3 linked regions of the Arabidopsis thaliana genome follow. The protein of the gene in region 1 interacts with the protein of each later gene in a pairwise test. Each region holds a gene or a part of one and is shown in the gene's direction. Other genes may lie near its edges.

Region 1 (3,817 bases):
AAAACCCATCAAACTAATAAACCTCAAAATGTATTTAAAATTGAAGACAAAACATTTTTTAGTAAAATTCTTTTGAATGTTTAGTAGTTACTACTCTTTTAGTTTTTATGGTCTCAAATTTTACAAATTTTTTTTTTGACTTTTTCTTTCTTTTTTTTTTTTTTTTTTTTGCCATCAATTGACTTTTTCTTTCTTACAATTATGTTTTTGTTATTTGTTTTGTTTTTTTAGACCCAGTAATACACTCATGGTCGGGCCTGGTATGTTATGTAAAGTTTGATATGTAGCATACATCTTGTATTCAGTTACTGTTTTCCTCAGTTATGTCGTTTTTGGATTTCTTTCTTCAAGTTGGGGTTTGCTATTTGTTTCAGTTGTAAATCAAAAACTTTGAATTGGCTGCTATTTTTGTCCAACACTATTAGGGACTAAAGACTCGTTCAAAATCTTATATATGTCGTCTGTTCCTAAAAAGCTTTGGAAATTCAAGGGGTTTTATTTTATCAAAAAGAATTAAAAAATCAAGGGGTTTAAAAAGATTGTCGAACAATTATTCAAAAGATTTGACCATTTATGCTTGTTATCAGCACTTCCGGTGTGTCAATTAGTTAAGTACTGTATTAAAAATAACAATGCCTAAAGTCAAAACAACAAGTTAGATTGAGTCTTGAATGCATATGTAACTGCATGTGATTTGATCAGTTGAAAATGGTATATAGTGATAGGTCAATTTACTTAATTTGATAGGAACCTAATTGTACTATATAGTAAAATATACCAGAAAGAAAAACGTTTTCAGAAGTCTAGAGACACCAAACCAAGTTAAAACGAACTTATATTGATTTCGACATTTTAAGTTTCAACTTAGACCACATTTTAAATTTCAAAGTAGACCTAGCTAAGTTAATTAATTATGTTTATTCAATAAACTATAAATATAGATAAATCGATCATGACATGTATTCTGCTACTAGTTTGTGGCAAGGTGGTCGATACGTCTTAATTCGGATGTAAATCTGCATAATCCACATATTGTTTTCCAAAAAAAAAAAAAATTATAAATAGCCAACATTAATTTAGCTCGTATACTATCACATCACATTATAAGTATCATACAAAAATATTTCTTTTGTTTAACATAAATAGGTACTATTTAACTAAAAATGTTAATACTATTTGAAACCAGTGAATATCATCAATCAAACTATTCTTGAATATAATCCATACAACTTTTTATTCTTCTTACCAAAGTGTTTAATACTAAACGGTAAAATAACTAAAACTGTATAACCAATGAAATCTTAAATCCATATAGCAAATGCAATCAATGTACGATAATAGGATTGGATTACTCGCTCGTTGGTCACAAATCACAATAGACTAGAAGAAGAAAGCAGAAAAGGGAGCACCAATTGAAATAAAATACTTTGTTGAGGAGGTCTTAAGTAAGTACTTCCCCCTTGAGAAATAATGAAAGAAGTTTGCTTAAACAGTGCTCACTGGTCCGGCTACCAAACGTTGGCCCACTTCTCTATTTGGATATATCTCCTGATAAATTATGTGTGACCCACTCCTATACAAAAATCCCATAACTCTCACTTTCATTGGCCCTCCTTTTTTATTTTCTCATCTTTTTGATTAACCCCACTTTTATTCCAATTTTTTTCAAAAAAATAATAATAAGAAAACTCTAGTCTATATATAAACATTGCCACTCGCTCGAAAACAGCCACTTTCTATTTTCACCAATTTTCAAAAAAAAAATAAAAATTGAAACTCAGAAATGGCGAATCTCTCTTCTGATTTTCAGACATTTACAATGGATGATCCCATAAGACAACTAGCAGAACTGAGCAACACGCTTCATCATTTCCAAACATTTCCTCCTCCTTTCTCTTCTTCTCTCGATTCTCTTTTCTTTCATAATCAATTCCCTGATCATTTTCCCGGAAAATCTCTCGAGAATAATTTTCATCAAGGGATATTCTTCCCTTCTAATATCCAAAACAACGAAGAGTCTTCTTCACAATTCGATACCAAGAAGAGAAAATCATTAATGGAAGCTGTTTCTACGTCGGAGAACAGTGTCTCTGATCAAACTCTCTCTACCTCTTCTGCTCAAGTTTCCATAAATGGAAATATTTCGACAAAAAATGTATTTTATTAACCTAGAAACCCTAATTTCACACACATATATTAGAGTACTCTCAGTTTCTATGAATTAATCTAACTTTGTTTTTCTCTTTTTTCTTATTGATATCACAGAATTCTTCAAGGAGAGGGAAGAGGTCGAAGAATAGAGAAGAAGAGAAAGAGAGAGAAGTTGTTCATGTTAGAGCTAGAAGAGGCCAAGCCACTGATAGCCACAGCATAGCAGAACGGGTAAAATTGATTTTCTCTATACAAATTATAGTGTACATAAATAATATAAATGAAAACTATGAGTAAAAAAATTAAAATTAACTTTCAGGTTCGACGAGGGAAAATAAACGAGAGATTGAAATGCTTGCAAGATATAGTCCCCGGATGTTATAAGGTGATTATATTTTGCTTAGACTTTAAGAAAATATATTATTAGTTCTTTTATTGAATATATATTTGGTGATGCAGACAATGGGAATGGCTACTATGCTTGATGAGATAATTAATTACGTCCAGTCCTTACAAAATCAAGTCGAGGTATAACAATAACAATTAATTTCTCTTAAGTTATAGGTCATCTAACCAATTCCATTCGTTTCAATAATTATACTAATTTACTTTCTTTTTTATGTGAACTCAGTTTTTATCTATGAAGCTTACAGCAGCAAGTTCGTATTATGACTTTAACTCGGAGACTGATGCTGTGGAATCCATGCAGGTACAGAATCTAGAATTATAACTTTTAATTAAAATTTTCTCGTAAGACTGGTGATGTTTGCTATGATTTATTTATTTCTTAATTTAACTATATGGTTTGATGTGATTATAATTAGATGATTTAAATATCGATTTTTAATTGGAATATTAAAATGCGCAGAAGGCAAAGGCACGTGAGGCAGTGGAGATGGGTCAAGGGAGGGATGGGAGTTCTGTCTTCCATTCATCATCGTGGACCCTTTGACTTTTGTTTTTTGCTCTCCTTTTTTTGTCTTTCTAATTTTCTTCCTTTTTTTGGATTTAAAAAGATACTTTTAAAGATTAATTTCAAGAAATCTCGATGCCATATGATATGTATACTTGTGTAACTTCGACATTACAAATATATATACTGCCTCGAGATTGCATTCAAAGTGGGGATACATAACGATCAAAATTTTACCGAGCAGACAAAAGTCGGAACCACAATGAATTAGTGTCAGTCTATCCAACCATATTTTTGACATAAGTTTTAGTAAGATCCCACAATAATTTTGACAATATGATTGATTCTTAAAGTGTTTTGAAAGTTGTAGAAGCGAAGCCTCCTCATCAATCACACTTTAGAGAATAGTAATGAGGAATGTTATTTCGGCTTAGCTAGTTAAAAACTATAATACGATTAGTGTATAATAAGTTCGAATATAAGCCTATAAGGCAGTTTATAGAAAATATAAATCATGTTGTCACGTAAATGTAGTATCAAACATTCAAACTTATTATTTTTTTGTATGAAACAAAGAAATATATATCAATGTTAGTAAAAAACAAGGAAAAATACATATAATCTCTTCAAATTTTCAAATCAGCCACAGCTGGAAAGCCTTGAACGTCCAAAACAATAGTCATCAAATCTCAGTTTTAAGAAAAATAAAAAGAATATTTAATATTTGGAAGTGTCTACATTATATTTACAACA
Region 2 (4,840 bases), 1.5 Mb from region 1:
AACCAAAATTTGACTTAGCCATTACGATACAGTTTAAATTATGCGATGGATTCTGGAGCACGATGTAAGAGATCATTGACTATAATATCATTATTGTGTAATAAAAAATTATTTTTTGCATTTTTAAAATTATAAATATTTCAACTATCTAGATTATTATAATACCACTAGATTGGAATGACATCGTATATATGGTAGAAATAAAACCGGATCCTGCGCTCCTTTCTCTCCTTATTATTGGTCGACTTCAAGGCCACGAAATCGAATATTATTAATTTACAATGACATTTCGGATATAAATTTAAATGTTTAATCTAAAAAGTATACTTTATTTGAAATAGGATAATTTCAGAAGAATCTTTAATTATAAAATCCTTATATATGTCTGTATTAGTGATTTAGCTGCTCGTTACGAATATATTAAAACAATAAATAAAATTACTTCCATAGACAAATGATTCAGGTTTAAGACGAGATTTGACGAAATCGTCTAACGATGATGGAGTATAAGTTCAAAATAAAAGTTTGTGTGGAGCTATAAGAAATATCCCCAAACAATGTAAATTGTATTCGGAATCCTAATTGTCTCAGTTTTAGTTGAAAATCTTTTTTTTTTCTGGTTAACACACTAAAAGAAGCAAATGTAGTTTCTAAGGAAGTCCATCCTAGTTAAAATCTTGAAGCCGACGGTGTAAACCCACTCGGATTGTGGAAGATGAATTTTAGGAGTCGAACAAGAGACCAGTCTGGAGAAACTTTGAGTTGCATGATATAGCTTGTTATAATTGTATTCTATGATTGAAAAAAGTACTGCTCGGTTTCTTATGATCTCATTGATGCGTGTGAAGATGAAAAAAGCTCTGTTTGATCTTCACCAAAAAGAAAAGTTATTCGATAAAGTATTCAACTAATATAAAATGACCATTCGTTGTTTGTATTATCATTCAATAAAGCAGCCTTTCTAATATTGTACTATTCTTTAATAAACCCCTTAACTTACGTTTCCAAATAGAAAGTTCTTGCATTAGTCATAAATTAACATTTCATAAACTTTTCATTATGAAATTCTTATAATTTTATAACATTATAAAATTCATGCAGTGTCTATTAATTAGCAATTTAAGACTAACATAAACTTAATCAACTCTGCCAACTGGTCAACGTAATTAAGTAGCTGCAGATCGATGATGTGTCATTTTTTCATTGGATCAGAGAACAAAATGCGTTTTACAGCTGAAAGTTTCTTTTACAAAATGCACTCATTTCATGCGGTGTCCGTTAGTGATTAACGCTGGATAAATAGATTGCTTTATTCAATTTGAAAAAGATCAAAATATAGCACATAAATAAAAAAAATTAGAATATTTGTTCCGATCATAAATTTATGCGTATACAGTATATGTGTATTTTTATAGGATTAAAGATACATATAAATTTCTTATATTTAATAGATATCGTTAAATGTTAAAGAAAATTTATCTAAAAACTAGCTAGTAAACATACAAATATATCACAAAAAATACATTCACCCCTGAACTGCCTATAAAGAATGATTGTGGATTAATTTTTGACATATATTAGGTCTAAGAAAAAAGAGAGAAAATATTGTTTTTTTTCTCTCTCAGCTTTTGTTTCCCATGCATACAGCTTTATGTTAGCGAAGAACTAGTATGATCTGGTACTCCGGTACTCCGGTACAGACGAAAGAAAGAAAGAAAAAACTTGTTTTAGTTGCCTCAATGTCAACTACTATGCTTTAATTATGATGCCAATTAACAAAAAAAAAACGAAATATTCCGAAGTAGTGTTCAGACCAGATCCATCTGGATTGCAATACAATTTGATATTATTTATATGATTGGCATTATCTTATTATATAATGCTGAGTCGTCTGGTTGAGATTATTCAAGAATAGAGACGAAGCTGGTAACATGGTGGTGGTGATTACCATTATAAACAATATTTTTAGTCTGTATATCTTCTTATTAAAATGCGAAGTCAAAGTCTGTTGGCTTTGGGTCCCTTCCTATAAAAACCTAGTTAGGCAAAAGAAAACGACAATAATTTTTTTTTTGATGTAAAGAAGAAAAACAAAAAGAGCAGATCCAGTTGATCTCAAGATCGCATCTGAATCATATAATAGCATGATCAAAGAGGAGACCGTTTCATACTTCCAAACTTTCGATGGTGTTATGGCAGAATCTGACAAGGTAAAACAAAACACTATTTCTCGATTTAACCGTTTAAACCACAAATTTCTCTAATTCTTGTTTTATTTTCAATCTCCTTCTGGTGTTTCAATCGGTTAGAATTAATCTCATGATCATATGATTCTGTTATATATTTACATATAGTTACCATATAATTCTTATGTCTGAAATTAATACAGTTTTACTGCATCTGATAAAAGTCAACTTGCTTGTTCGGAAATGGTCTCGAGTATCGAAAGTTCATTATTTTTTTTGGGACGGTTATTTAATGCTCAAGGATACCAAGATTTTCCGGTATTTAGAAAACTTCGGATGAAAACATTTATAATTAAGATCCGCTCTAATTAATATAGGTCGGATCGATCCATTTTTTTTCTTTTTTTCTTTATTGGCATTCGATCATGTTCACTTTTATAATACTATTTACTTTGTGTGTATTGAGAACTATTTATCGTAGAAGTTTAGAAGATAGGTCCAAACAGTTTTTAGATAAAAAGTGAATATAAATGTGTCTTGGATATTACAGGAAGAGGAGCTTGATGCAACAAAAGCAAAGGTGGAGAAAGTTCGGGAAGAAAATGAGAAATTAAAGCTCTTACTCTCTACGATTCTTAATAATTACAACTCTCTTCAAATGCAAGTCTCTAAAGTTCTCGGACAACAACAAGGAGCTTCGTCTATGGAGCTAGACCACATTGATCGTCAAGATGAAAATAACGACTATGATGTGGATATATCACTTAGGCTTGGAAGATCAGAGCAAAAGATCTCTAAAAAGGAGGAAAATAAGGTGGACAAGATTTCTACTAAGAACGTAGAGGAGTCAAAAGATAAAAGATCTGCACTGGGTTTTGGATTTCAGATTCAAAGCTATGAAGCCTCGAAACTAGATGATCTTTGTAGGCAGGTTAAGCTTGCAAACGCTGAAAATAAATGTGTATCTTCGAGGAAAGATGTCAAATCAGTTAGAAATGAAAACCATCAAGATGTTTTGGAGGAGCATGAACAAACAGGTTTGAAGAAAACTAGGGTTTGTGTTAAAGCATCATGTGAAGACCCATCAGTACGTACCATCAAAACCATACATTACATATATGTGTTTATTTACCATTTCACATCTAATTTAATTATTTGATCATATACACGTTACATGAATATATATAGATAAACGACGGTTGCCAGTGGAGGAAATATGGTCAAAAGACTGCGAAAACCAATCCTCTCCCACGAGCCTATTACCGTTGCTCCATGTCGTCAAATTGTCCCGTTAGAAAACAGGTATAATACATTCTATAATTTCTCAATCCAAATATCTGTTTATTAACAATTGGTTTTGAGTAAAAACTTTTAAAACGAATGTCTATAGGTGCAAAGATGTGGAGAAGAAGAAACCTCCGCTTTTATGACAACGTACGAAGGAAACCATGACCATCCTCTCCCCATGGAAGCAAGCCACATGGCAGCTGGAACTTCCGCGGCTGCCTCCTTATTACAATCTGGCTCCTCCTCTTCCTCCTCCTCCACCTCAGCGAGTCTAAGCTATTTCTTCCCTTTTCACCACTTCTCTATCTCCACCACTAACTCGCACCCGACTGTAACATTGGACCTCACACGACCAAACTATCCCAATCAGTTACCAGACGACTACCCTCTATCGTCCTCCTCTTTCAGTCTCAACTTTTCCTCTCCAGATCCTCCACCTCCATCATCGCATGACCACACCTTGAACTTTAGTGGCTTGCGAACACAAGCTCCGTTGAGTACAGATTCATTATTGGCCCGTTATCGAACGAGACTTTCCGGACAGCAATAAGCCAGTAACTGTATCGGTATAGCTAGACACAAGTCTAGAAAGTAACTGATTTCCGTTTTCTTTGTCATTCATTTGTTTTTCAGCCTCTGAAAGAGAGATCTGGTTTTGGCATGATATGCAAAATGCTTATATACTTGTAGATATCCAAATGTTTAAATTAGTGGATTACCTATCATATCATGGATTATATATGTATATGAAGGTTTTGTAAATTAATGGTCTACACAAATTTGATACACCAAATATTTTTTTATGCTTATAAAAATTTTAAATACAATGTTAATTTTTTTTGTTGGTGAATTAAGTAAGTATGACTATGATGACACAATGATATCTAAAATGGAAGGTGGTTTTCATGCAGATTGACAAAATCTCCCTCTTTCACTTTTGCAAAATTGTTTGATTTTTACAAAATAAACTTTAGTTAGCATCACATAAAATAGTGGGTTATTTGACAAATTATCAACACAACGTATTATTATTTGAAATCACATACGTATTGTTTACTAATTTGATTATTATTATTTTTTGCTACAGACATTTACTAATTTGATGGTCAAAATTGTAGTCACCATTAAAATTATTTACATAAAAGAATTGATTATTTTACTTCCCTCAATTATCAAATATAAATTTGTGATGAATTTGACCGAAATGAAGATGTCTGAATTGTTTGAGCCACCTAAATGTTTAGATGGTCGATTCTTAAAAAGGAAAGAAAACAAAATGACCAAAAGAAAGAAAACGTATGAAACTATGATCCATCAGATATTACTTTTAAATCAATCTTGGGCTCAGGCCCGTTACTACCGTTTTC
Region 3 (5,790 bases), on another chromosome or scaffold:
GGGAAAAACCACACCTTTTAATGTATTGGAATAAGGTGAATGGTTTGGGCTCTCTCAAGGGATGTCTTTCTTGCATTGCATCATCTTCTATTCTTCTTCTATCTGCATTGCATCAATGAATCCACTAAAGTTTGGTTCCTGGATGGGTGGTGATAGAGATGGAAATCCAAATGTCACGGTAAAGGTGATAATGAGGGCTTGCTTTCTACATTACTTTTTTAGGGTTAGAATTTTGCTGGTCACTCAACTTGCTAACACACTTTGCTGGTCATTAAGAGTGAGTCCTTGATTTCTATGTAAAGATTAACTTGCTAACACACTTGGTTTTATCAATAAATTTCTTGTTCACAGAAGGAGTATTGCATATGTTTAGGTGGATGGCTATCGATCTTTACGTAAGAGCGATTGACATCTTAAAATTATACGCCGCTCTGAGAATGAATGTGTGTTTTCTGACCCTCAAGTGCTTCAGACACTGAGAATGAATGTGTGTTTTCTGATCCTCAAGTGCTCGACTTCTATATTAATTCGAAAGGAGTTAAGATCAAGTAGATTGTTGAACCTCAGTGAACTAGTTAATGCCCTCTGTGATCATTTATTCCCATTTTGCTTAGTCTGCCTATATATAATTCTAAGTCAATGAACTTGTATAATATTCTAAGCAAGACATCAGTAGCATATAGTATAAGTTGATACACAATAATTAAGCCAAATGACTTGGGAAATTATACGACTTCAGATAAAAAGCGCTCTAGTCTATGGAGTAGATTAAGCATCTGCTGGTGCTGGAGTCGATAGGCTCCATAGCCAACGTACATTTTGTTTCATTTTAGAAAAAGCATTACAAGTTCTTGTTTGGACTATCAGACAACAAAAAAAAGTAACTTTTATAATTCGCCTAGGACCCAAAAGTTATGAGCACGGGTCTAATAGTCTAACATTAATAAGTGTTATTGATTAAGATCGTAGGCATGATTAAAGATGCATTCCAGCTTCAGTTAATAGTCGGTACTATAGTTCCTAGTGTTATTGATACTATTCTGCTTTACTAAATCAAAATTTCAAACTATTAAATAATATAGACTTGTAAGCAAACAATAATAAGGATATGATATCAATAATTATCGATTTCTATTGAAAATAATTTTGTCCTATACGAACAACAATAACTGTTTCACCAAATCAATATCCAATTTTGCTTGGAGTGGCCATGCAAGATACTTGTCCTTGACCCTTTTCTTTGTCTCATACCAGCTTAGAAAGTCATTGTTTAGGCAAGTACCATTAACATTATTTAAAATACAGATCAAGTCACGCTAATACAGATCAAATCAAGTACCATTAGATTTTCTTCTTCTTTTGGTTGTAATAAAGAAGAGCATAATTTCAGATGTTGCAATCTATATAGTCTACGAGTAATAGAGTTCAATTCCATCATCATTAGCCATGATAATAAAGACGTAACACATAACGACACATTGAACTTAAAATAAATAAATAAATAAATAAAAATGATAAGAAAGGAACAATCAAAGAAAAGGCCAAGCAAATTGATTGATATTTTTGTAAAGCTTACGTAAAAAACTTATATGAAAAAAATACGTAAATGGATATAAGATTTGATGGCACAATACAAAGACACGAGTGGTGAGAAAAGAAAGAAGAAAAAGCAAGAACCCAAATGGATCACACATCTCATCAATTCTCCTTAAATGGCTAAAAAAGATCTCACCCTTCTTTACTTTTTTCCCTCTTTCTGATTTGTGATAATTGAAACCAGCACAAGAAGACAACACCATTTTCTTATAACTTTATAAAATTTTATAAATAGAGACACATACATATATATATATATAGAGACATGTAAATAGTAAAATGTAGGGTCTCTTCCCTAATTTAAAGCCTGCAACAGAAATGAGTGCACTTCTCTGTAGTAAACAGTAACACATCGGTCTTCTTCATGTCTTTGGATTTCTTTTTTGGATTTCGATTCTGTTTCAACCATATATTTTCTTTAGATAATTTTACTAGATTCATCTCTTTCTCTATGAACAACATTTTAAATAAATGACATTTTAAGAAAGTGATTATATATAAGATTTTCTTGATTCTGATTTATCTTTTTTTTTGGTCGGAAGATCTTAAAGATATGAAAATGGATTCGTGTCATAAACAGAGGCAGCTCCGTACGTGATTTGGCCCTCCTTCTTTTCAACTTCTTCTTTCTTGAATATTAAAGTTGTATTTTTCCCCTCGATAATACAACTTTTGGTTTGTTTATTTAGTTATAAAATGTTGCTATTTGTTGATCTAGTGCTCTGAATCTTTTAGTGAGGCAGATGATGAAGATTATGAATTTCTTCATGAAATTATTGTAAGAAAAAGTAAGTAATTTTTTTTGTAAGTGTTTGCGTTCATGCAAAAGAGATTAATCAGACCCACTTTTCTCTTTTTCAGTTTTGTTGCATTATTTTGTTCTCTTTAATTTATGAATACTAACTTTATTGTTGATTTCTGCTTTTTGGTTCTCTTTAGGAACATAGAGAAGCTGCGGAATGAAAGTACACTGTTCTTTCACGGAGAAAGAAGATAAATAAGCATTATCTTCTTCTTCAGTTTTTAACACACATTTTGGAAATTTTGATGTAAAAATTCTCTTTGGAACGTTGTGTTGTCTGAAATCTTCCCAAAGGTTCTATCAGAAGAAGAAGGATAAAGGCAAGTTTCAACATTTTTAATGTTCTATGGACATTTGTAGTAATCTAAAGCTTTCTTTTTTACTTATTAGTTCACTGTTTATCACAGATAGCTTTGAGATATTATTGGTCTGTGTATCATTGAGCCTAGTTACGGCTTCATTAACTCATGTTTCGGTTCTTTATATATTTTAATGAAATATTTAATGACATAGTGAGCGATGTTCTCTGTCTCTTGCAGCATTTTACATTTAGTACTATTCTCCAAAGATTTGGTTTCTTAGATTTTCTGAAATCTTTTGTCTAAGTCTTAAATACTTGTCTTCTTTGGTAATGCAGTTTCATAGAAACCCAATGGACAACAACAACAACAACAACACTTTTAGTTCTCTGGATAATGTCATGACTAACCAAAATCCTCTTCTCATGGATTTTATACCTTCAAGAGAAGATTCAACTTCATTCTCAACAATGCTTCCATGGAATACCATCAGATCAGATCCTCTACAAATGGGTGGCTTTGATATTTTCAATTCTATGCTGACTAACAAATACTTATCATCTTCTCCACGGTCTATCGATGTTCAAGATAACCGCAATGTTGAGTTCATGGCTCCTCCTCCTCATCCTCCTCCACTTCATCCTTTGGATCATTTAAGACACTATGATGATTCCTCAAACAACATGTGGGGTTTTGAAGCAAATAGTGAGTTTCAGGCATTTTCAGGTGTAGTTGGTCCAAGTGAACCAATGATGTCTACATTCGGTGAAGAAGATTTCCCGTTTCTAATTTCGAATAAAAGAAACAATGAGCTTTCATTGAGTCTTGCATCAGATGTTTCTGATGAATGCTCGGAGATAAGTCTTTGTGCAGCTACAAGATTAGCCTCAGAGCAAGCTTCTTGCAGCAGCAAAGACATTTCTAATAACGTTGTTACTCAAGGTTTCTCTCAACTTATATTTGGCTCAAAATACCTTCACTCTGTTCAAGAAATACTATCTCATTTCGCCGCATACTCGCTCGATTATTCATCTCGAGGAACCGAGTCAGGAGCTGCTAGTTCAGCCTTTACTTCACGTTTTGAGAATATAACTGAGTTTCTTGATGGTGATTCTAATAACTCGGAGGCGGGTTTCGGATCTACATTTCAAAGGAGAGCATTAGAAGCAAAGAAAACCCATCTCTTGGATCTTCTTCAAATGGTATGTAATATATTCATTCACTTTTTTTGCATAAGTTAAAAAAATGGTTTGATATATATGATGAAGTTTTATGAGTTGATATTTCTCTTCAGGTGGATGATCGATATAGTCATTGCGTAGATGAGATTCATACGGTTATATCAGCGTTCCATGCTGCAACCGAGTTAGATCCACAGTTACACACCCGGTTTGCCCTCCAAACCGTTTCCTTCTTATACAAGAACCTGAGAGAGAGAATCTGCAAGAAGATAATCTCTATGGGATCTGTATTGGAGAGAGGCAAAGACAAGACTCAAGAAACCTCTATGTTCCACCAGCATTGCCTTCTTCAGCAGCTGAAACGAAAGAACCATCAGATTTGGAGACCTCAACGAGGTTTGCCTGAGAAATCTGTTTCGGTTCTACGGAATTGGATGTTCCAAAACTTCCTTCACCCGTAACAATCCTTACTCTTCTTAACTATCTACTTTATGATGATGACATTGTTAACTCGATTTTATAAGCAAAGTTATGTTTTATTTAATGCAGTTACCCGAAAGATTCGGAGAAACATCTTCTAGCTATACGAAGTGGCTTGACAAGAAGTCAGGTAATGTCTCATGTTTGTTTTCTTATGCAATGACTCATTGATAACAAGCTTTGTTTTCTTATGCAATGACTCATTGATAAGATCTTTGTTTTCTTATGCAATGACTTATTGATAACATCTTTGCTCACAATGATAGCAAATATGGTATTCAAATGAGTAATATATATCTTGACATACTAGTCATGTCTGAAAAACCGGTATTGGTTATTTTAAGATGAGATTAGGGCTAGGAAAAAATCAAGCTTTTCTCTTGAACTACAAATGAGACTAGATTATGTATTCTTGAATTCACAATAATGTTACTCAAGTCCTAGGATTGTAGTCGCACATATGTTTTGTTACTGAAGTAAGTTAAAGCGGGCAAATGATATAGAGTGTGTCTCTTTGTTGTGTGTGATTAAAGGTATCAAACTGGTTTATAAATGCGCGGGTTAGGCTATGGAAGCCGATGATAGAAGAGATGTATGCGGAAATGAACAAGAGGAAGCTCAATAACAGTCACATTCAACCCAACGGACCAACTCTTCGAATGCCAAAATCTGTTATGATGAGCCAAGCAATGCATAAATAAGACAACAATTGTGTTTACCAACTTTGTGATAATTAGGCAATTGCTACTCTATGATTGCCCAAAACCTAAACCATGTACGACTATCATTACGTATGTTATAATTGTATATACAACTCCTTTATCTTTGACTATTTCATTTTATTATCCTGTATTCTTATATCATAATTATCATCATCCTCATTAAACTTCATGATCACCATTTTTACGTAAAAATAAAATTAAGTTCATGAAAATATATAAAAAGTATGTAACCACTGAAGATTTATTTTCATATTTATTCAAACAAACTACAAAATACAAACCTAAAGTTTTATTTCACCGTTTGCATTTAACTTTTTTTCTCTTACAAGTGAGTTTTATTATTCCAAAAACTGAAATGAATAATGACGAAAATCTCCTAGCAAGCGACGTCGTATTTTGGTTTGACTTGAGAATCTTCGGTCAACTAATAAAAACGCAGCGTTTTCATCTGGTACGGACACAATTAGAAATAGAAAGTAGGAAAAGGAAGACACTTTGCTAAAACTGAGGAAGAAAGTGTAAAGACGGAGCCTTTTACGGCGAATGGAGGAAGACAGAGCCACCATGACCGGAGCTGTAGCCACTCGAGACTCGGTGGAACCCAGCGAAGACATACTCATATGCGTCGATGTTGATGCGGAATCGACGGTGGAGATGAAGACCACTGGAACTAACGGTAAGCCTTTGAACAGGCTCGAGTGCCTCAAGCT

The links.
Region 2: the proteins of BEE3 (region 1) and WRKY36 interact in a two-hybrid assay, tested with the Arabidopsis thaliana proteins (one large-scale study listed by BioGRID).
Region 3: the proteins of BEE3 (region 1) and ATH1 interact in a two-hybrid assay, tested with the Arabidopsis thaliana proteins (one large-scale study listed by BioGRID).

What each region holds. Positions count from the first base shown.
Region 1 is NC_003070.9:27,758,244-27,762,060, forward strand, and holds BEE3 (BR enhanced expression 3), read left to right. Parts: upstream 1-1,697; 5' UTR 1,698-1,783; coding exon 1,784-2,155; intron 2,156-2,265; coding exon 2,266-2,382; intron 2,383-2,470; coding exon 2,471-2,536; intron 2,537-2,610; coding exon 2,611-2,679; intron 2,680-2,782; coding exon 2,783-2,860; intron 2,861-3,019; coding exon 3,020-3,103; 3' UTR 3,104-3,313; downstream 3,314-3,817. UniProt on the Arabidopsis thaliana protein: Positive regulator of brassinosteroid signaling.
Region 2 is NC_003070.9:26,276,421-26,281,260, reverse strand, and holds WRKY36 (WRKY DNA-binding protein 36), read left to right. Parts: upstream 1-2,005; 5' UTR 2,006-2,144; coding exon 2,145-2,210; intron 2,211-2,389; exon of another isoform or gene 2,390-2,736; coding exon 2,737-3,273; intron 3,274-3,374; coding exon 3,375-3,488; intron 3,489-3,576; coding exon 3,577-4,023; 3' UTR 4,024-4,313; downstream 4,314-4,840. UniProt on the Arabidopsis thaliana protein: Transcription factor. Interacts specifically with the W box (5'-(T)TGAC[CT]-3'), a frequently occurring elicitor-responsive cis-acting element.
Region 3 is NC_003075.7:15,914,134-15,919,923, reverse strand, and holds ATH1 (homeobox protein ATH1), read left to right. Parts: upstream 1-1,770; 5' UTR 1,771-2,384; exon of another isoform or gene 2,385-2,535; 5' UTR 2,536-2,718; intron 2,719-3,035; 5' UTR 3,036-3,050; coding exon 3,051-3,899; intron 3,900-3,991; coding exon 3,992-4,335; intron 4,336-4,427; coding exon 4,428-4,488; intron 4,489-4,891; coding exon 4,892-5,059; 3' UTR 5,060-5,254; downstream 5,255-5,790. Other genes in the region: AT4G32970 (BRISC/BRCA1-A complex protein), read left to right, coding at 5,624-5,790. UniProt on the Arabidopsis thaliana protein: Transcription factor which may be involved in the signal transduction pathway downstream of the COP1 gene. Controls floral competency as a specific activator of FLC expression. Is responsive of the nuclear import of SHOOT MERISTEMLESS (STM).